Struthio camelus: one gene and its partner. The protein of the gene in region 1 purifies or fractionates together with the protein of each later gene. This does not show direct contact. Links are inferred from orthologs where the notes say so. Each region holds a gene or a part of one and is shown on either strand. Other genes may lie near its edges.

Region 1 (10,655 bases):
GCTTTGTTGAGGTTTTCTTTAACTTTACTTGCATAACTTATTTTAGGAACGATTTTAGCACTGCTATTGTCCACTGGAAAAACTGGGGGTGGTTTAAATAAGGTCCATGAATCCTCTTTAGATGTAGCTGATGACGCATGCTTCCCTTTGGGCCGGTCATCAAACTTCTTGCTGCTAATTCCAGGTTTGGCATCAGAATTTTTTCGCTGTACATCCCCAAGCCCAGGCTTTCCCCGGCCTGCTCCACCAGCCCCAGCCTCGTATTTCCAAACAGGCTTAGTATTTTCAATTCGGGTCCCCTTTTGTTCACTATAATCAGGCTTGAAACCCTCAAGTTCCTGTTTTAAGGTTGGGGTATTAACCTCCTGTTGCATTATTTTGTCCTGTACTAGATTCAAGTTCTCACAACCCTTAGCACTGTTGCGCCTGCCTTTCCGTTTTTTAGGCGTAGTATATCCACTCTCGGAGCCACTACCATCATTATCTGCCCCTTTGCCTACGTAGCCATTAGTGATATAACTAGAATTATTGGTTACCACGCCATTTGGAATAGATACTCCCTCCGGCTTGTCAGAGGATTGACTTTCTCTAAGCTTATTTTCGTAGGATTTCTCATTCTTTTTGTCCATGCTATTTTTCTGAACGAAGTTCTTGGTTTTGATTCCGGCTTTCCCCAAAGCACCGGCCTTAACAGTCTGCTTTGGGGTCACATTAGTGTCTACAAGTTGCTGGCTGCCATTTGGTACCCTGGATCCTGGGTTGGTTGTTTCATCAGAGCACAGGCCCTTTAATGATACTTCTCTTTCTCCTGCATTACCATTTAGCTCCCCGTAGCCTAGAAGAAAGCCAAAAACAACAAAAGGCAAGAATTAGAATCTAAAATGTTAAACTTCTGATCGCAAAAAGCTGTAATCAACCCTTAAACATATCCAGTTTCCTCAGACATTTTAAAACAGGAAAACATCTAGCCTCTGACATATAAAAGCACATCCTTACTCACTGAAAGTCACAGTAAGAAGAGTTAAGCAGAAAAACACCAGCGGCTGTTGACTCTTCTCATACGACAGGGTGACATAACAGCAGCATGTTGATTAACGCATTTGATAACAACAAAACAAAGCAAAAGGATATGAGAGGACAGAAATATATATATATCGTGCTAAAGACCATTTGCAAGTCAGAGAGCCAGCTAGTGTTTCCAGGTCACACAAGAGGAAAATATTAATTCCCAAGATGCTACAGGACAGAGGGATCTGCTGCCTTTGCTACATGATTCACTGAGATTCAGCATCTATATTGTGAACAAGGGCCAACTTCTAACATCTCTGTCACCTCACAGACCTGCAACACCAGCAGTCCCCCTTCCCATCTCCCTCCTAAGCAACATCTCCAGTAAAAAAGCTTTCCAAAAGGATATGTGCAAGTTCAGGTGGAAATGGAGGGGGGGGAGGGGTGACAGCATTTCCTCACTTCATTTCAAAATAGCAACCAACACTTCTCTACACGTGCTCTTTAGCTTTGAAAAGGTGATAAAGCTGGGAAGAAACGCACCTCTGCAAGCATCCTTCCACCACCACTGGCAACTAGCCACCTGCCTGCTGAGAAACTTCACTATTCCACCGCGTCCTGGGGAGACGCAGCAAGAGACTGAGAACCAGGCGGTGAGGCATTTGCTGAAGGCCCCAACTCAAAATACAAGATCATGCTGTAAACTCAGCTTTCCTTTTTGTTTCTCAGGTGCGTTTCTAGTCTTTGTGGTTCTGACGAGAACCTCAAGACTGGAACTCAAGTGAAGCAGAAAGCCCAGGACAGTCCAGGCTGAACCACCTCATCCTTCTCAAGGCTATCTCCAGCCAGAGTCCCACTGAGAAGAAGGAAGAGCGTGCTGTACCCAGCTAAGCAAATACACTCCCAGCTGATGGGCTGAGAAGGGGGACTCCCTCCTATTGCACCGGCTTGTACAGGAAAGGAGAGAGATCCTTGCTTCTCCTCTGACTCATCTCTGTCCTCCTTTGCAAAGGTGGAAAGCCTCACATCTTCTGCAACAAATGACCCACCTAAGGCTTAATTTGCAGTTACAGTGGTGTCAAATCAGCACAGCGCACAAAGAAACCCCCAAACCCAGGAGCGGGCAAAATTCCAGCTTCAGAAAGAATGTTTTGTTGTTGCTGATGTCGTTTAACTCAACTGCTATACTAAAATTCATTGTTATCCACACATCCTGGAGTCTCAGATGTCTGGCAGATGTAACTGCTCAAGGAATCCTTATAGAAATTCCACAATGGAGTTTGCTGAGAGGGATCAAAAAGGATTTTACTATATGTAAGTATCTGTAATGACCATAACTTCCAAATAAGCTGTTAATAACATTACCCATAAATACTTCGTCACAGAGATACGAATGGGATGGGACTCTCTGATGACTCAAGGACTAAAAATTATTTCGGAGTAACATGCAGAGGAAGTCTTCTCAAGAATAACATGTAATAGATGACCTTGTAAGACTCAGGACTTCTGACATCACTAGTCAACGACACAAAACAGTAAGAACGGTCATAAGACCACTGCAGATGAGGAGCGAAAGACTAAAATGAAGAACACTTCAGTAAGTCAGTGTCAGCAGTTTCAAGTTCCAATTTTCAAGTATTCACAACTCGGCTGCCCGAGTTTTCTCCAAATCAACATTTGGCATAGCTGGTCCTGGCCCGGAAATAGAGGTGCAACAACCAATATTTTTTGGGGGGGGGAGAAGGATGTCCAAAAGAACACGTGAGGGGTATTTGGCAACCTCACAAATCATTTCATAGCTGGAAAGAAAAGGGGCATCAGTCTTAAGCATGAAAACCACGGGCACGCTGCAAACAGTGAAGCGACTACTCAAGTTATTTTTGCCCAATAACTTATTTGAGCGGCTGCCTGGTCAATCCCCTCCCTACTCCCGCTCCAGATGGCTTTACGCGCCTGGCCAGACTGCGGTTTCAGGGCACTATGAAACCTATTTCTGATAGGAGCCAGGTCCCTTCCCACCTCCCGGCTGATTATGCAAACGAAGATTTCAAGGGTGGGGTGGGGGGGTGGGGGCAAGAAAGTGCATGGCCTTCTGACTACTCTTTTAGTCTCATATTTGCTTTGAGCCCGCAAAACGTTCAAAGACCAAAAACGGTCCTTGCCTGCAGGCCGGGGCCGTGAAGTCAGGGCGCCGGTCCTCCCCTCCGACCTGCCCAAACCGGGGCTATGCCCCGCAGGCAACGGCCGCCGGGCCTCGGCCCCCTCCTTCCGCCGACCCCCCCCACCTTAACAACAAACAACAAAAAAAAAAAAAAAAAAGAGGATCGAGGCAACTTCTGGATTTCTCCGCTTTCGCCCGCCGGGCAGCCGGGAACATGCCAGGAGGGGCCAAGCGGCCGGGCGAGGCCCCCGCGGCCGCCGGCTCCGCAGCGGGCCCGAGCAGCGCCGCCGCCGCCTTATCTGACTCATTGATTTTTACGCTCATCAATTTTTAACCAGCGCCCCCCCCCCGTCCCGGTCCCCCCCCCCCCCCCCCCCGCGGCAGGGCCGGGGGCAGCGGCCGGCGGGGCCCGGGCGCGGCCCCACGTGCCCGGCGGGCGGCGGCGGGGCCCGCGGCGGCCTCGGCCGCGCCGGCTCCAACATGGCGGACAGGAAGCGGCCCCAGCGCGGCGGAGAAGCTTCCAGCCGGGCCGCGGGAGGCGGCGGCGAGGAGGAGGAGGAGGAGGAGGAGGAGGGGAACCGCCGCCGCGCGAAGGTCACGGGCGCCCGGCCGCCCGCCCCCCGCCCGGACCTGCTCTGCGCTTCGGCGCCTCCTGGTGCTGCGGGCCGCCGTGCTTGTGGTCGTGCCGGAGCGGCGGCTTGGGCTGGGCTCGGCCGTCGGGCGGCGGCAGGTAGGCGCTCTGCGGGTGGTGGTGGTGGCTGTAGTAGTAGTAGTGGTGGTGGTGGTGGTGGTGGTGATGGTGAGGCTGTTCCTCCATTGGGGGGTGGCTGGCGGGGCCGGAGAGGGCCGAGCCGAGCCGGGCCGGGCTGGTCGCTCGCTGCTGGGCCGTGCGGCTCCGGCGCTGGGACGCGGCTGGCGCGGGGGAGGCGGCGGCGGCGGACTGGCAGCGCCCGCCCTGCAATCAGCGAGCCGCCGCCGCCGCGGCCGCCCGCCCCCCGCCCCGCCCCGCCCCGCCGCCGCCGCCGGGGCCCGCCCGCCCCCCGGGCGGAAAGGGAAGCGCCGGCCGCGCCGCGGAACCGGCCCCCCGGCGTCGGGAGCGCTGCGGGCGGCGCTCGCTTTTTCCGTTCCCGTCGCTCTCGGAGCCCGGCTACGAGCTTTTCCCTTTCCTCCCACGGAGCAGCGTTTCGTAATCCTGTTCTGCGACTGGGCGACCTTGCATCCTGGAAATGAATGTCGTGTACTACTTCAGATTATGATTTCACTGCAGGCTCCAAGCGGAGGAGGAGAAGGGGTGGGAGGAAGCAAATCCTCCTTTTACCGTCAACGAGCGGATCGACCAAGCGGCCGCAGTGAAGCGAGGGAGGCAGCCGGGGTGCCTCCAGCAGGCAGAAGTTTCTCTGGGCGGCGTTGAACAGGACCACGCAGACGGGACACGAACAAGAACACTGTAAATTACTGTGTTTCCACTAGCAGTTACTGACAACTCCGGAGCAGCAGCAGCAGCAGCAGCTCCTCCGGAAAGAAGCTGAGTCCGCGTACAGGAACAAGCTTGAAGGAGCTGGAGCGTTCTGGTTTGCTCTAGGGCTCCACCAGCAGATTGCGGAATGAAAGCGCAAGCCGCTAAGCGGAGCCCGAGAGAGGAGCCAGACGCCGGCCCGACGCCCCGCTCGGCTAGTGCCACCGTGGCAGGGAGCGGAGGGGACCGCGGCCCCCGGCGCCGACCCCTGCGCCCAAACAGTTACGCAGCCCCAAGCCACAGCAGCGCTCCGTGTGGCCTGACCGAGCTGGTTCCCTGCCCCTGAGGGTCCACGTCCCTCCTCACACGTGTACAGTATAAATCCGGTGAGGAAAAAAGAGTAGAAAATGGGTTCCGGCACATACATTTCTGCTCATTTCTGAGAGAAGCGCGATTATCGCTTAACAAAAAATCACAGCCACTTTGAAAAGCAAGAGAGGGGAGTGGGGAAACGACCGGAAATTTGTTAAAATTCCTCATGGATTTTATACCATTATAAACATCTGATAACTCCCATTTGAGCACAGTCAGTGGAGCGTTCAGCAGCTCCATCGTCTGAACTCCTGCCTCTGCTCTGAACGCGCTCCAATTGCGGGAAGAAACAGCTCGCAAGATTTTCCCCTAAGACTGTCTTTCCTTCCCAGCTGCTCCATCTTTAACACTATGGTAGGGCGCAAACAGACCCTCCCTTTTGCCTCCAAAATTCTTCACAGATACCAGGCAGCACGGAGACAAAAAAGGGTCCGATGTGAACGCAGAGCGAGGAGGAACAGAAACGGGTTAATTAGAAGGGTAGGAAAAGGAGGGACGGGGAGACCTGAGACTGACATATATAGGCTAGAGTCAGAGGGAGAGTTCTGCTAAGACTTATTCACTACTCCAGTTTGATTAATTACCACCAAATATTCACACCGTGCACTGCTGCAATCAGGGAGGGAGGATGACAAAAGAAAATGTGATCATGTAATTAAAGACTGTCATAACTCTTATGAAGAAAAGAAATACATGGGCTGCACAGACAATCTTAAAAATAGTATTTCCTAGCTTCTCATGGCTGGCACTTGCAGCTTTAACACCTCCCCCTTTTTTAAGTATTGTAATAAAGTAAAAAAATAAAATAAAAAAAGTTTCAGTGTCCAGAAAGCCCTATCAGACTTTGGCTCAGACTTCTGTTGGGCACTGTATGAAAGACAGAGTGCCTGCCCCAAGATTTTACATTTCCCAAGTTTTATTTCAACAGAACATAGCTGAAAGTTTATGCCTCAAGCACAGCTTCCCATCCCCACTCCACCCTCTATTTTAATATGTAGGAGGCAAAACTTTTCCTACCAGAAATCCAAATCCAACATTAAATTTGGGGTGCCTGAAATATCATGAGTTTTGTGCCAAACTGTACAGATCACATTTCTTTCAACACAATGCAAAATGATTTAAGATGTAGTGAAACAGTTTAAGCAAGCAACTGTGAAGTTTAGGCTTTACCCACACTCTCAGGAATAACGGTCCTTTCAAACACTGACTCATAAAGTGACCTCACATTAGTTAGGAGACAAGTCTTAAAATGAGGAGTCAGACTTTAATCACAGTTGACATTTTATTGGTAGCTTGGAAGAATTTAGTTTTAATAGTAAGAACTGGCTTGAAGAAATAAACTTCAAAAGACTGAAGAAAGCAGCCTTAATTACAAACAAATCATCTCTATGCACAAGCATATTAGAAATGTAAACACAGAGAGTAGTGGTTTTCTTTACGTGAAAGACAAAGTAACTATTTTGTTTCTTAGAAACGTGGTGGTGCCAGTACTACATTAGACGTATAAAGTGTGCAAAAACAGATTTAAAAAATCCAAGGTAATACTGAGGCTTGTGGTCCATCAAATGAAGCACAGGCACGCCAAGCTAGCGAGGCGGCTGACTGCACACGGGTCTACGAGGTGGGTCACAGCCCTGGCGCTGCGGAGATGCAGCCTAGGGCACCACAAGTTCCAGCATGCAGTGCTGCAGCTGGGTTCGAGGTGTCTCTGAAACATGCTGGGATCTGTAGTCTTTACAGGCTACGCTTCCTATTAAGGGCAGTAGCAGTTTGTTCATCGTTTGGAAATGTCATGCTCTCCTTTCAAGTTGTCTTTGTTAAGAGTTACATCCAGCCCTCTCCCATCATTAGCACAATGTTGCACCAAACAGACAAGATATTAATGTTCAGCAGTTGTTAGGGCTATGATCTCCACAGCTGCTTAAAAGGGAAACCGGAGACTTAATGCCTCCTCATCTGCAGCGGTTTTCTTCCTCGCTGCTCTTTGAGTTTGGCAAGTCAGCAGTGCCTCATGCAAAGGAAAGAGGTTATTTTTCTTGGAATTCCAAATCCACTGCCAAGTATTCCCACATCCTGGCACAGAAGTTGGGCAGAACCAGCATAATTTCTAGCTTAGTAACTCAGAATCTTGTAAATCTTTGAAGTATATGACTTTTCGGAGAACTTGCCATTAAAAGCTGCAAAATGAAAGCAGTAAGGAGTGAATCAACTGCTACAGGAATCATGAGAAAGTTCTCTGGAGAGTCTGACCCTGACTTGAGATGGGTTTTGAATTCATGTTAAAACGTAGTTAAATTTGGAAGCCATTCCAGGGATTTTCTAAGAACAAATAATTTCTTTCCGAAGGCAATCCTCTTTACGACCCTAAATTTATTCTCCAATAAATGTTTGAGGTTACGTTAAAACTTTGAAACTATAAAATTAATCTATCTGTAAAATGAAAAATGCTGGCTTCGTAAGATTTCTTGTGTCCGTCTCCTGCTTAAGGCTCAAAATATGGAAACATGAAAATTACCACAGTTATAGATATTGGTAAGAGCTCTTATACAAGGTATGTGTGGCATTAGTTTTCTTCTTTTTGCCAAAATGCTTTCATTTATGGCAAGTATTCGGACTTGCCGAATGCTCTGCATTCCAGAAAGCCCAGCATAGCAAAGCACTCAATTAGATGCTTAATTTCAGGTATGTTCATAATCATACTGATAAAAACCTTGCAGCAGCTGGCCCCTGAAGTCTAATATATTTCAGTACAATGAAGCCAGAATTTACCAACCTACTTGATATTAAAATGTTAGAAATGTGAAAGACTGACATTTCAGAGGAAGAAACAGTTTGGTCAGGACAGATCACAGGGGTGACAGCACTCCTTGCAGTCTTCTGCTTGAATAGGGGTACAAATATCCTCACTGAGTTCAGTATACTGTCATTTGGAATTAGGTTCAGGTAAGGTGGAGCCTCTCCTTGAACTCCATTTCTGTACTTTGCTGTGTATAGTAGTAGTAGACTTTAGCTTAGAGATCTTAAGAGAAGGCAACAAAATAATTTAATCCCTAAATGAATTGCAGAAATGGATATTGTGGACACACCTGTCCTATCACTAACAGCTTAAGCAATTCCACCTAATAGCACATGCTGAATTAGGTTCCCCACCCCCCCCCGGCAATAAACTTAATTTTCAAAAGCCATAAATACACTATGTTAATCCTTCATTCACTCCCAAGAAAAGTAAGGCAGCTCAGCACCAAAAATAACCACAGGGCATAGTTTTGTGAGACAGCAAAACTGACGTAACGGCTAGCTACTCCCAAAAGGGAAGGTCATCTCCCCGTTCTGCCTGCTTGCCTCTGCCCTGCCCTTGCATCAGCACTGTTGCTTCTCTGACCCCGGGTGAGCCAGTTTGAGAAATCAAACTAAAAGACCATTCTTCAGCTTTAAAGAGAGCACACCTTTCCCCCTTAGTTAAGCTTCCTGAATTGAGAGAGTTGTTCTTTTTCTCCTCACTGAGAGGAGCAACTCAGCAACCGAGGAGCAACTCAGCAACTCAGGAGTTGCATTGTACAGCCAACCATGCTACAGGGATGAACCCCTTCTGGGAACTGGGCAGTGGTGACACAGCTGGTGACACCGCTGAGGGTTGCAGCCACTTCAGCCATGTTATTTTATTTTGCTCATATTTTTGAGTCAATCCCCTCGAGTGCCCAAAGAAGGATGGTGTGACTACCCTTCAAAGTGTTCTGCAGAAGCTATAACAGGATGGCTCTAACCAGTGGGACTTCTTTCTGATGGCTACAGTCATTGTTTAATAGGACTAGATCCGAGGAATCTCTCCTGTTTTAAACACATTGAAGTGTTCATACAAGCACGAGTAACATCTGCTGCCTAAATCGACATGAAAAATTGTTTACTAGAGTGCAATCATGTGAACTGGAGGCAGCTTCTTGGACATACATATGAAACAGCAGAGGAGGCAGGCTAGCAGGTCAGCCTCTGCCAAGTCTCACATCATTACTTGTCTGGAATTTCAAAGAATCCTGGCTCTGGGATTTCAGATAGTCCCAGATCCCCCCCTTACTTTCCTAGGATCACCACAGGGACCACAGAGAAATCAGCACAAACACTTTCCAAGGTGCTCTTCCAATAACTGCCCTTTTGCCGGCTGCTCTGCTAGGACCCAAGTGCACACGCAGTCTGGATTGACTTATGCGTGGGACTGTGTCAGTCACTGCTTGCAGTGGACTTTGACCTCTGGAAGACAAATGAGAAAAAGCTCAATCCACAAATCCCAAGCACTTTTTATCATGTTATACGACAGAACAGTCACAAGGTCACTAGTCACTTCCATTTCTTTCTAATTGCATTTGGATACCAAGCACCTACTATTCTGAAATAGGGACTTTTTTTTTTTTTTTTTAATATATATCGAGTATGTATGTATCTAGCACATGGAGGCTTAAATACATGTGTCTGGACTCAGAGTTTGGAACATAAAAATGCCTAGTACTGGCAGAACACTGAATCTGTAAGGGTTATTCTTTGAGTTAGTATTATAATTGCTATTTCATTACGTGATACATGGCAATGATAGTTGACTAAAACATCAGGGATTGAGAAAAGCTCTTGTTTGAAGCGGAATTAAAAAGACTGGGACCATTCACCTCAGAGGGAGCAAATCAAAAAGTCCAGAGAAGGTATTACAAAATGCATGGCCTAGAGATAAGGTGAACAAAAATTCTCAAACTGTTATCTCAAAACATCACAGGAACATGAAGGCAAAAAGAAAAATGGTAAATTAAAAACAGATAAGCAACCACCTTTTAATGCTTTGCATAAAGTATATATAAAATTCATTGACGCGCAACATTCTGAAGAGCATGCCATTATTAGTATTCCTAAAGGATGGGCATAATTCAGCTGAAAGCAAATGTGAACATCTAGAATAGAGGTTTTAGAAGGGTTATCTAGCACAAATCAGCTTCTAGCTCTTTGGATTTTAGAGATTTCTGCTAGATACCCAGCATCCGAAGAGCTCAAATAGAAGGGGGAGGGGGAAAACAGTATACGCTCATAATAAAACAATCCACTCTGAATAACTCATAAACTGAGTATAAATAAGACAACTGATGGATCTAGCTAGACAGGGAGGAAAACAGGAGACAGCAGAGACCAGTACTGAAAGGCAAGCCAAACAGTGGTTGCCGTACAGCAAATATCTGTAACATCTTCCACTGAGGGCTTCTTACATCATCAACTTCATGGATCCACGCTCCAATTCAGTTCTGAAATTCAGGTATTTTAGTACATATCAACTAAGTAACAACACTGCCGAAGGCACTGCTAAAGGCTGGCTCTCACCACATCTTTTACCCTACTTCCTTATCTTGGAATTGGGTCCACAGTGCCACACTTGCTCTCCCATGCAGTTTCCTTTATTTCACCGCTTACCTATTCATGAGGACTGGACTAGAGGACAAAGGCTATCGTACATAGCAAAGGGTTTGTGGAACAGTTATTCTGGCACAGCTCCCCAGCTGGAAATGCAGTTTAAATTGGCAAAGAACTTGCTAGACCATCTCCCTAAAAGACACACTATACCAGCAAAATAAATCATCTCTACGTGCGTGCCATTATTGCTGCTGGGTTAAGGCTGGGATTTTTACA
Region 2 (10,022 bases), on another chromosome or scaffold:
CAACATTTGTCTACATAAGATAGAAATGAACTCAAGCTGTCAAATTAGATCATATAAGAAGTACTACAGCACACTTTTCAGGAGTTTTTCCCTATGCTGACATTAGCAATGCCAATCCTTGCCTTCTTATAAGAAGGCAACTTCTCTAACTAGGCAAGCATATTTGAATCAAACCTGACCCAATGCGCACTCTGTAGCCTGCTGACAGAATTAGTCATCGTAGAACCTTCTTCACGTATTTGCCACAAATCAGTTGTTAATTTAAAACTTAAACAAAAGTGGATAAATAATATCACACAAAAAAGGGGGGAAAAAAAGGCATCCATTGCTCTTAGGAAAGACACCTGCAGGTTATCCATTAATTTTGCTCAATAGCTTAACACAGCTGCATTACAGCTATTTTGGATTATTTAACACTGGAGGTCCAAGTTTATAACATTCCAAGGCTATATAAGCCTGAAAAAATGTATACATATAAGGTCCGCTATACAAAGAATTTTGTGATTTCATGATGTTAACAAGCTAAACCTAATGCAGCACTGAGAGAAAAATAAGTAAATAAAAAAAAAAAGTCAGCTTCCTTTCGGAATCTGAAATAGCAAGACAGAAGCACTTCATTGAATTCAGCAACACACCTTGAGAAAGAATCTAAAATTAACTGAAATTAACTCTAGTCAGAAACTTTAAAGATGACAGATAGTTTTGTAAATGAAGAGGTTGCCAACAAGGTTCCTTTTTAGAAGTACATACTACGCAAGTCAGAGGTACGTATCTAATACAAGACACATCAAGGGAATAATTTCTATTTCCAGAAATTGCTGTCCAAGAGATTATCTTAGAGTTAATCACTGCAGTAATTCTAAAAAACAACACACACAAAGATGTTGGAATGAACTAGAAATTAACTTTGAATGACAGGTGACCAAATCTCCAGAATAGCCACTTTCGTTATTTCAGCAAGCCTTGATACTTGATATTCCCAATTATTTCTACCTGAACAGAACAGACACCTCTCTTCCGCCCTTTACTTAAAAGGTTTTAGTTAGTCTAATAAAAAAGGTTGTCAAGGACAAAGAAAATAGGAGCAGGTATTAAGCATTAAATCTCAAAAGCAAGCTACACAACATGGGATAATTTCAGTTTTAACATGTCAATAGGTAGAGCAATTTGTAAGAGTAATTTACAGTATTCTTAAAGGACTCTCAGGTCCAACTAGGCAAGGAAGTTACAAAAGCAAGGGGAAAAGACCTTTTGCCACAATTGTAACTACACACGTAACCATCCAAAACCTTGGCCTGAGATGTTTTGCCTTCAGACAAAATACCAATGGGAAAATAATGGAAATAGAAAAGGATGCACTGCTTGAAGGAATACTAAGACAGATGCAATTTTTAATCACAGAACAGCTAACCTTTCTATGCTTGTATAAGGCTAGATAAGGCTAGAATGAACTAAACACTAAAAGTAGATATTAGATAATGTTTTGACCAGCACAGTGGAGCAGGTTCATATTATGAGGTTTGCATTTTCTCCAATTACAGTTTAACATGCTATTGGCATCCCCACTACAACCTGATTTTCCATCTGCCATATTCCACATGCAGCTACTACTAAGTAAACACAGCATTTCACTGAGTGCCTATTTACAAAAGAATTATTACATATTTCTTGTTTTTAACACCTTCAAAGTTATTTTGTGACTTTTTTCCCCTAATACAAAAGGAAGGATAATATAATGAAAGCATGAATACTAGGATTGCCTGTTCACCCACACAAGATCTTCCCTTTTTTAATATGAAAAACATATATTAATCATGACAAGATGATGGAAACCAGCATAGTGAATAAGCAAAGCTGACCTTCCAACTCATCACCAGATGTAGAAGAACCAGGTGCTTGGCTCAATTAAGTCTTACAGTAATAAGCATATATCATAAACTATCTTGGACAGTTTACTGCCAATGAAATTTCTACCCAAATTTAAACTTTTAAGAGCCGCTTAGCCAAGAAAAGAAACATTCTTTTGCATCTCCAGAAAATAAGAAAAAGAATGCTAGCGTTGCAGAGCAGTAAGTTGCAGAACTACTAAGAAAAAACGCTTGGCATAAACTGGAGATGCTTGTTTAAGTTTCCATTAAACAAAATACACTTAAAATTGAAACCAAGATGCAGATCACCTAAAATAAAATTGATTTTTCATTTAGCTTTTCACCTGAGCCATGTACGAACAAATTTGCTGTATGAACCATCTTTAAATTTGTATTCCACAAAAAGATCAAGACTTTTCTTTAGGATAGTGACAGGAAGAGTTCTCTGAAGGTGTTTCACAAGGCTCTATCAGTTCTAAGACTAAGATTTTACAGATCCTTTTTCAGAAATTACTTGAAGAACTGACTAACAAAGAACAAGGTGCAACCATCTCTGACAGAACACGTCAGTTCCTAAAAAGTTTTGAAACAGAATCTGCCAAGAAAAAATAAAAAGGTTTCTCCTCCAAGGGTTACCTAATAGCTTTAATTTTAACTTAACAAAGAAATTGAAGCTTGCGTTCCTTAATCTATAAAGACAACGTTCACCAACTAAACTGAAATTTCAGACAAAGCTGTAGACTTTGTTGCCCTTCATGTTAACCTCCACAGTGCCGCTGTGTGTTGGCAAGGATAACTGTTTAGCAAAGAACAGTAAATATGAAGTGTTCAATCTAGACACCCATGTATAAAAACTGTTAAATCATTTCAATGAAGTGCTGGAGGTCTCAGTATTTTTTCCCCGTTTATTTTGTTCTTTTTCAGCCCTACTAAAGCTTTTCCACTTCCAGTTCCACAGACTGGTGACAAAGTAAAACCCTGTTTTTAGTGATGTCCAACAATGGGACCAAGGTAAATAAATTCTTTTTTACTGCCAATGCACAAAACTGACTAGGAACATAAAAGTCAAGCTAGAGAGCAAAAAAATAATGACTAAAACTTAAAATGAAACTGCTCTGAGAGACTATGACCTTCAACACTGTTACCATCCTGCTTTGCTTGTATGACCCCCCAGAGCATTAGAAACACTCAGAACACCAGAAGGTCTGTTTTCTTCCCTCCCCTCTTTCCTCCCTCAAACATACGTGAATTTCTATAGCCCATGCTCTTGGATATGGAACATAAGCAGCATCAATCTTCCAGAGGCAGCAGAAGATAGTAGGGCCTCAGGAGTGTGCATAGGAAGGGGGAGATAAGAGAAGAGGAATCTAAGCCTGCTGCGAAACCCTGATTCCTTACCCCCCTAAATTTGTGGAAAAAAATGAACTCATGTTTGGATGACACATCCAGCATATATCACTTAAATCAGATCCATCCATAACGCTAAGCAGCGCTCCAACTGCTCTGCTGGGGCTCCGCACGATATTTTATCGAGATTAAAAAATAAATAAAATAAAATAAATAAAAAATCCCGTCGGCAAAAGGCGCTCTGCGAAAGGCAGATGTTCGCACAGTTTTAAAATGCAGACGTGCTGCCCCCGCTTAAGACACCCCCCCCCTCCCCAGGGGTTAACAGCATCCAGTAGGGGCGACCCCCTCCCCGGCCACCTTCCCGCCCGCGGCCCAGAAGGCTTCGCCCCGAGAGCACGTGCGGCCGCGGCCGCCCCCCGCCGGGCCCCGCCGCAGGCCTCGCCGCCGCCGCCGCCGCCACGGGGGCTTGGCCCGCCGCTGCGCACCACCGGCGCCGCGCTCGGCGAGAAAATGGTCCCCGCGCGGCGGCGCGGTGCGGTGCGGCGCGGCCCGCCCTGCCCGCCGTCCCCCTGAAGGGCACCGCAGCCGCGGCCTTGCTGAGCGGCGGCCCGGCCTCGCCCCGGCGGCACTGCGGAACCGGCGCGGCGCCTCCGCCCGCCGCCATGCCGCCCACCCCCCCCCTCACCCCCCCCCCCGCCGGGCGGAGCCCCCCGCCGCGCTGCGCCGGGCCAGGCCGCGTCCGCTCCCCCCCCCCCCAACCCGCCCCGCCATGCAGCAGGCCCCGCTCCCCCCTCCCGGCCGCACCGCCGCCGCCCATGGAGGCCGGTGCAGGGGGAGGGGGGGGGAGGGGATGGCGGCAGCGGCCGCGCCGTGCCCTCAGCCGGCGCGGCGGGGACGGCCCCGCCGCCGCGCACCCACCTGCCCATGTTCTGCCTCCCGCCGCCCGCGGCTGACGGGAGGCCGGGGCCGCCGCCGCTGCTACCGCCGCCGCCGCCGCCGCCGCCACCACCGCCGCCGGGGGGCTTGCGGTTGTTGCCGGCGGCCTGCGCCGCCGCCGCCGCCTGCTGCTTGAGGGACATGGCGAGGGGGAGAGGGGCCGGGGGGACTGGGGCGAGAGGCCGGGTCCGCGCCGGGGCCTCGCTGCGCTCGCTGGGGCCGGGGGCAGCCGCTGTCTCGGCCGGTTGCTCCCAAACAGTGTGAGCGGGGCGGAGGGAGCGGAGCGCGGCGCGGAGGGATCCGGGGGGAGGGAGGCCGGCTGACGCGGGGGGGGGCGGGGGGAGAGCGAGGCGGGTGAGGTGGGAGGCGGCGGCGAGCGGGCGGCCGGTCGATCAGTCGGCGGAGGCGCCTCTCAGCGGCCTCCCCGCTGCTTTCCTCCGCGGCACCGGGCGGCGGCGGGGCGGGCGAGCGGCGCGGCGGCAGGCGCGGACTCTTTACGGGAAGTCGGAAGGGGCCGCGGCGGTAATGCGGCCGGGTGAAGGGGCGGGGAGGGAGGGGGAGCGCGGCCGCGACACGTGAGGCGGCGGCGCGGGGCCGGCGGCTGCTGCCCTCCGCGCGCCGCAGCCCCCCCCCCCCCCGGCCTCAGCGCAGCGCGCCCCCCCCCCCCCCGCTCCGCTCCCCTCAGCGCGGCGGTGGCGGGAAGCGCTGAGGAAACCGGCTCGGCGCCCCCGGGCCCTGCCCGCCGCTGCCGCCAACGGCTGCCGGCGAGAGGCGGCGGGAGTCGCCCGGCGGGACGGCGACGGGGGCGGGGGCGGAGAGGCGACCGCCTCGGGAAGATGGCCGAGCTGCGCCAGCGGCCGGGAGTTACCTCAGCGCCCTGCGCTGGCGACCGAAGTTGTTAACCGATTTTTCTCACCTTTGAGCACAAAGGCATTAAATTCCCTCACCGGTAAACGATCACGTCCCACAGCCATTGTACGCAGTCACCGAGTGAAACGCGCCAGAGATGGAGCCGGGGGAAGGGGGGGGATTATCGCAATCTGCACCGGCAGCCCCTCCGGTATTAGAGATTTCTGGGATTTTTTTTTTTCATTGCTCTAGTCAAACCCTAACTGACCAAAAAAAGAAAAAAAAAGTATATGATCACAAAATGCAGGCTCACTCTACCTACCACACACCACCAAATTTCATGCATAAAACTCAAAATGCAGGCACTGGGCAGCTCTGGTTCATTAATTGTCCCTGCGTTGCTGAAAAAGCAGCCTTCACGGGCTCTGGAGCGAACCCAGTCCATGCCAGTACGTAAACACAAAGTGTGGTCTGTCCTGCTAAAAATCTATGTACATGCAGGGTTAGCAAGAGCAGATGTAGTTTCACAAACATGAGCTAAATTGATTTATAGCCATGGTTACTCAAAATGCTTCGAGTTTAATCTATTCATAGAAAGGCTCCAGAATTCCCGCAGGATTCAGGTATAATAAAAAGGAACGATGCTGTTAGGCAGGCATTATTTATACACCTTGCTTGTAAAGCAATAGTTTTCCCATGCGGTTGGAAGAGTTGTGGGTGGCAACACACAATAGTAAAAAGATAACAATATTTAACAGCTTTCTCAAATTAGCATTTCCCCTACACTTTTCACTGTTAAACTACTTGTTTTGTTTTACCCAAATAACCTGTGGTTAACACTTTATTAACTAGACGACAGATACCAGCTGAAATGGGCTCAGAAGAAAGAATTATTCAGTTGGAAATGCTTCCCCGAACAGAGCCAGCAGTTTATGGAAACTAGGTTTTCCAGTCGCTTTATCAAACCGACTTGTCTCTTTGCTGTCTCACAGCCACAGAACTGAGACCCCCCAAGGATATCAAGAGTTTCAGCAGTCCGAGATTTTCTGTAGGACGTATTAAAGTGTGAGGGCAGCTAAGGCTACCACAGGCTTTAGGACCATTTACTGTAAAAGCAGAAATCGGTCTCACCGCCCTTACTAGATAGCTAAGGTTACCTCAGAGAAGCTACGAGAAAACAAGCCTCTTTTTGTAAAGTTGAATATACATGTATTGTTCACATACGTTATATATCTGCGTCTCTATCTCTCTGTGCGCTAGCATACAGAAAGTTTTCACCCAGCGCTTCAGGGTACTGTTTGTAAAGTCTTGTACGTCTTTTGCTTGGTGCCACTGGAACCCAAACCGAGGGCCTCAGCACACCACCACAATACAAGAAACGTAGCAGGTAAGGAACTTGCTTTAGTTTCAAGGCATGTTTTGGATCTTGAAGTAAGCTACAGCTAAAAAGGATTACTTCGTCAAGGATGTGTTTTATCAGTGTGCTTTGAATTTTAAGGGAAAGTTACCAAAAAAAAAAAAAAAAAGCACAAGAAGGTCTGGTAAGAGACAACTGAGCATAACATATCCAGATCACTTAATAGTTTTTTTTAGATGTAAAGGAAGTTACTTTCAATATTTTTTCAGCTAAGAGTATTTAGAGTGCACAGCAATTAGTCACTATTTATGTGACTAAAGGTTAAGAACTTTTAAAGAGACTGCAGCATTTTGAAGTGGCAACCATGCTGTGGGATCCCACTGGCTAAGATGAAGCCCCTGATATTCAAGGATGTCAGAAGAACTAAAATAGGTTCAATTGGCAGAGATAGTTTCTAAGAGCTGACATGACTGTATTAAATTGTATGTTGGGGTAACATTACATACTTGGAAAGCAGTTGTATGAATAAGACTCTCGTGTTCATATCTGCAGTAATGACTCAAGTGCAGTTGCAGTTTGACTTGTTTTCTCCTGTAATGTATTCTTTGTTTTGTTAAGCTCTGTTTGGCTTTTGTTGTGTTTTTCCCTGCTTTGTTTGTCTAGCATCTTCATACAAACACTTTGAAAATAAATATAGAAATGACCACATTAAAATAGCTCAGATACTAACGTCCATTAGAGGATCTGCAGTTAGGTCTCTGAATCCAGTGGCAGCCTTTTGTGACTGCCTGTACAAATACTGCTTCTCACCTTCCTCTTGTGTGTTCACTTCTGCAACAGACTACTCATGCTTCCAGTGAAAGGGAGTTATACTGGCATTATGGCATCTATTTCCCTTTACCTGTGATGTCTACTTCCTCTCCCTGCATACAGTTCTTGAAGGTCCTGCAATTTCCGGCACTCCATATTTATCTTTTTATGATTTGAATTTATTTATTTGTTGCTACTGCCTACCATTATATCTGCTAGTTTAGCTGGAAATGATTTGTGGCAAAGGACAGACAACAGTCTGTGGCTCCAATGGTCTAGCTGTAGAAAAGTTCAGAATTCAAATTTGTACGTTCCCTGGTCAAGAAAGAAAAGCAACTATTTATTCAAGAATCACATTATATTTTGCTGTTTCCATTCTTATTCCAGGTCTTTCTGAAGACTACTGTTTTCATTTAGATTTGTGACTACATGTGCAAGCTGTATTTGCATATGAAGATTAATGATTCTGATAATACCATGACTTACCCAGAACTGCTACATGAGGTAATATTTCCTTGACATAACCTGCTTTTAGGTATTGTGCTCTCTTCCTTGAGCCAGCCAGGGTGATCCTCAACAGTATTCAACAAGATGAAACATGCCAGCCTATGGGGGGACAATTAACACTAGCACTTGACATTTATTTTAAGCAAAATCAACTGTCAGAGAAGCTCACAGAACTGGGTACTTCTACACTTTTTTCTTTTTCTCCTGAAGACTTCTATTATTTACTTCCATTATCCCTAATCCTACTCTTAGAGGCTAAAGTGTTGCTGACGATGCTACAGGCACAGGAATCTCCAAACACTTGGAAAGACATTAGGAAAACAAATCAGGTCCTCTAAGAAGAGAAGCACTTCCCAGAGAGATATGATATTAGCTAGTCAGCAAAGCTGCAATCAGTTTGAACTGATTAATTCAATACTTGCCAAACCAGAAAGAGGTATCTGCACAACAATGAGCAGAACCAAAGCGCAAGTTCAGAAGCCTACCAAATGAGACAACTACTGCCTATTGCTGACTCTTTTCTGACTTTCCTCCCCGCCCCAACTTCTATATAGTGTCTTTTCATTGCCTGCAGTGCCTGAATTCACAGCTGGATTCCAGGTGGAGAGCTGCTCCCATCGAACATACCTCTTGACCCACCCTTGCACTGTTAAAACTATTTCCTCCCAGTACTACCCATGCCATTGCACTTCTTGCAGCACATAGTAGCATTGCTAACGTGGGCCAGACAGTAGCTTTCAACTCACTAACTCCTCCTCAAACCCAGTTCAGATAGGGTGCAGATGACAGACAGGCCTGCCGAAACATGCATATGCCAACCGCTTTTACTGCCACCAGTGGGAGATTAAGGAAAATGGCGATGTCTGCAGAGCTTGAGAGAGGGGGTACAGAGGTGCCAGAGCTTGTTTTACTTATAAGCAACATTTTAGTGAACCTTCCTCTCACTTTCCATGGGCCTCAGACACCAAAAGAGAACATTTCCTTCCTTAGGAGGTGACGCTCCGGGATCCACACAACAGCACGCTAGCTCTGTGGCAAGTGTTTTGGGACATAGCTGCACATCGGAAGACAGTGACTCTGCCCCTGCCTCTGCCAAGCAAACTGCCAGGTGATCTTCAGCCTAGCATTTTCTGCTTTTAGATTTAGCATTTTTATGAAGGGGAGGGGGGGACCAAGACTAACTCCTGCTAAGCAGCAGCAGACAAAGCAATCATTATGCCAAGATTTAGCTCTTAAATCCCTCAAGAGCTGGTGCTCAGAGAGCATAAACAACCTTTACCTCACAGCCTTGTCAAGCGGTACCTCTGCATTTCCCAAGTACTATCACACGGACCCTTCAGTGCTCATCCTCTCCCTATCCCTTTGCTGAGATTGGCATGCCAACAAGAAAGCCAGTTGCCATGGCATTTTGTCCCTACAGACAGATGTCCATTAAAAACCAAGTCAGCATCAGGTTTGCTTCACAGAACAGCTTTCAGTTACTATTACCAGCCCCCGAGGAATTTCCGCTGTGCCCCATCACCTCAGATGTTTCAGTGCACTCCGGTATTAATCCCTAGTGATTAGGGGGAAAATACTACAGAACGGGCACAGGTACATTTGAAAGACAAATTTAGGATCACAGTCTTGTTTTACATTTCTGGCAGATGACTGGCATGTGGTAGTATTTGGAAAGGGCTGAATTTGTTACCTCTGGCATTCTCTCTCCTGTTCTCAAAAGCTCCTTGCTAAAATCATCAGACAAATTGGAAGTGAGACACACAGATTTTTCCCTCCTCAGACATGTTATACCTGAGGCTCAGATCATCGATTTTGGAGAGCCAGCTTGGCTTCCGAGCAAACCTGCCTGCATTAATCAGGAGCACCAGCAGGAGCTCCATCCGCAGGGAAAGGGCTTCCACTTCCCCACGCAGGAGCCCCCGCCCCCATCCGTGCGGTATATTCTGCTAGTAATAGACTTCAGGCCGCCTCCGGGAGCAGGGCTAAGCGTTTCCAGCAAATGTGCCTATGTGTTAAATAGTGATGTCTTCTTCCTTGGTTACAAGACCACATTTTTGTGTAAGATTGGAAAAGAGCTTAATGGCTTCCATACTCCTCCTCAGCCCATCCCTTCTGCATCTGGGGCCAAAGGCTCGTCAGAGGTGTCCCTAAGGAAAAGCAGGGAGCTTCCTGCTAACGTGCTGGCAGCACATCACTAGCCTCTCTGCAAGACTGAGCTTCAGAGGGAATTGTCAGGTATTTTTATTTGGATGGTAACACAGTGCTAATGCATGAGAACTAGACACTGAAACTTAACTATGAGCGGGAGTGCAGTGAAATTAGATTTCATTGCTAAAGCTCTGCAG

What was found. Proteins that work in one complex are often made in the same cells at the same time.
Region 2: the proteins of NUFIP2 (region 1) and ATXN2 purify together in Homo sapiens (affinity purification with mass spectrometry; 3 studies listed by BioGRID and IntAct, counting the BioPlex papers as one, with this or other methods). This does not show direct contact. The link is inferred for Struthio camelus from reciprocal best matches to the Homo sapiens genes NUFIP2 and ATXN2.

The regions. Positions count from the first base shown.
Region 1 is NC_090957.1:16,875,660-16,886,314, forward strand, and holds the start of NUFIP2 (FMR1-interacting protein NUFIP2), read right to left. Parts: upstream 4,159-10,655; 5' UTR 3,987-4,158; coding exon 3,800-3,986; intron 836-3,799; coding exon 1-835. UniProt on the Homo sapiens protein: Binds RNA.
Region 2 is NC_090958.1:18,288,687-18,298,708, forward strand, and holds the start of ATXN2 (ataxin-2), read right to left. Parts: upstream 4,412-10,022; 5' UTR 4,298-4,411; coding exon 4,137-4,297; intron 3,129-4,136; exon of another isoform or gene 3,113-3,128; intron 1-3,112. UniProt on the Homo sapiens protein: Involved in EGFR trafficking, acting as negative regulator of endocytic EGFR internalization at the plasma membrane.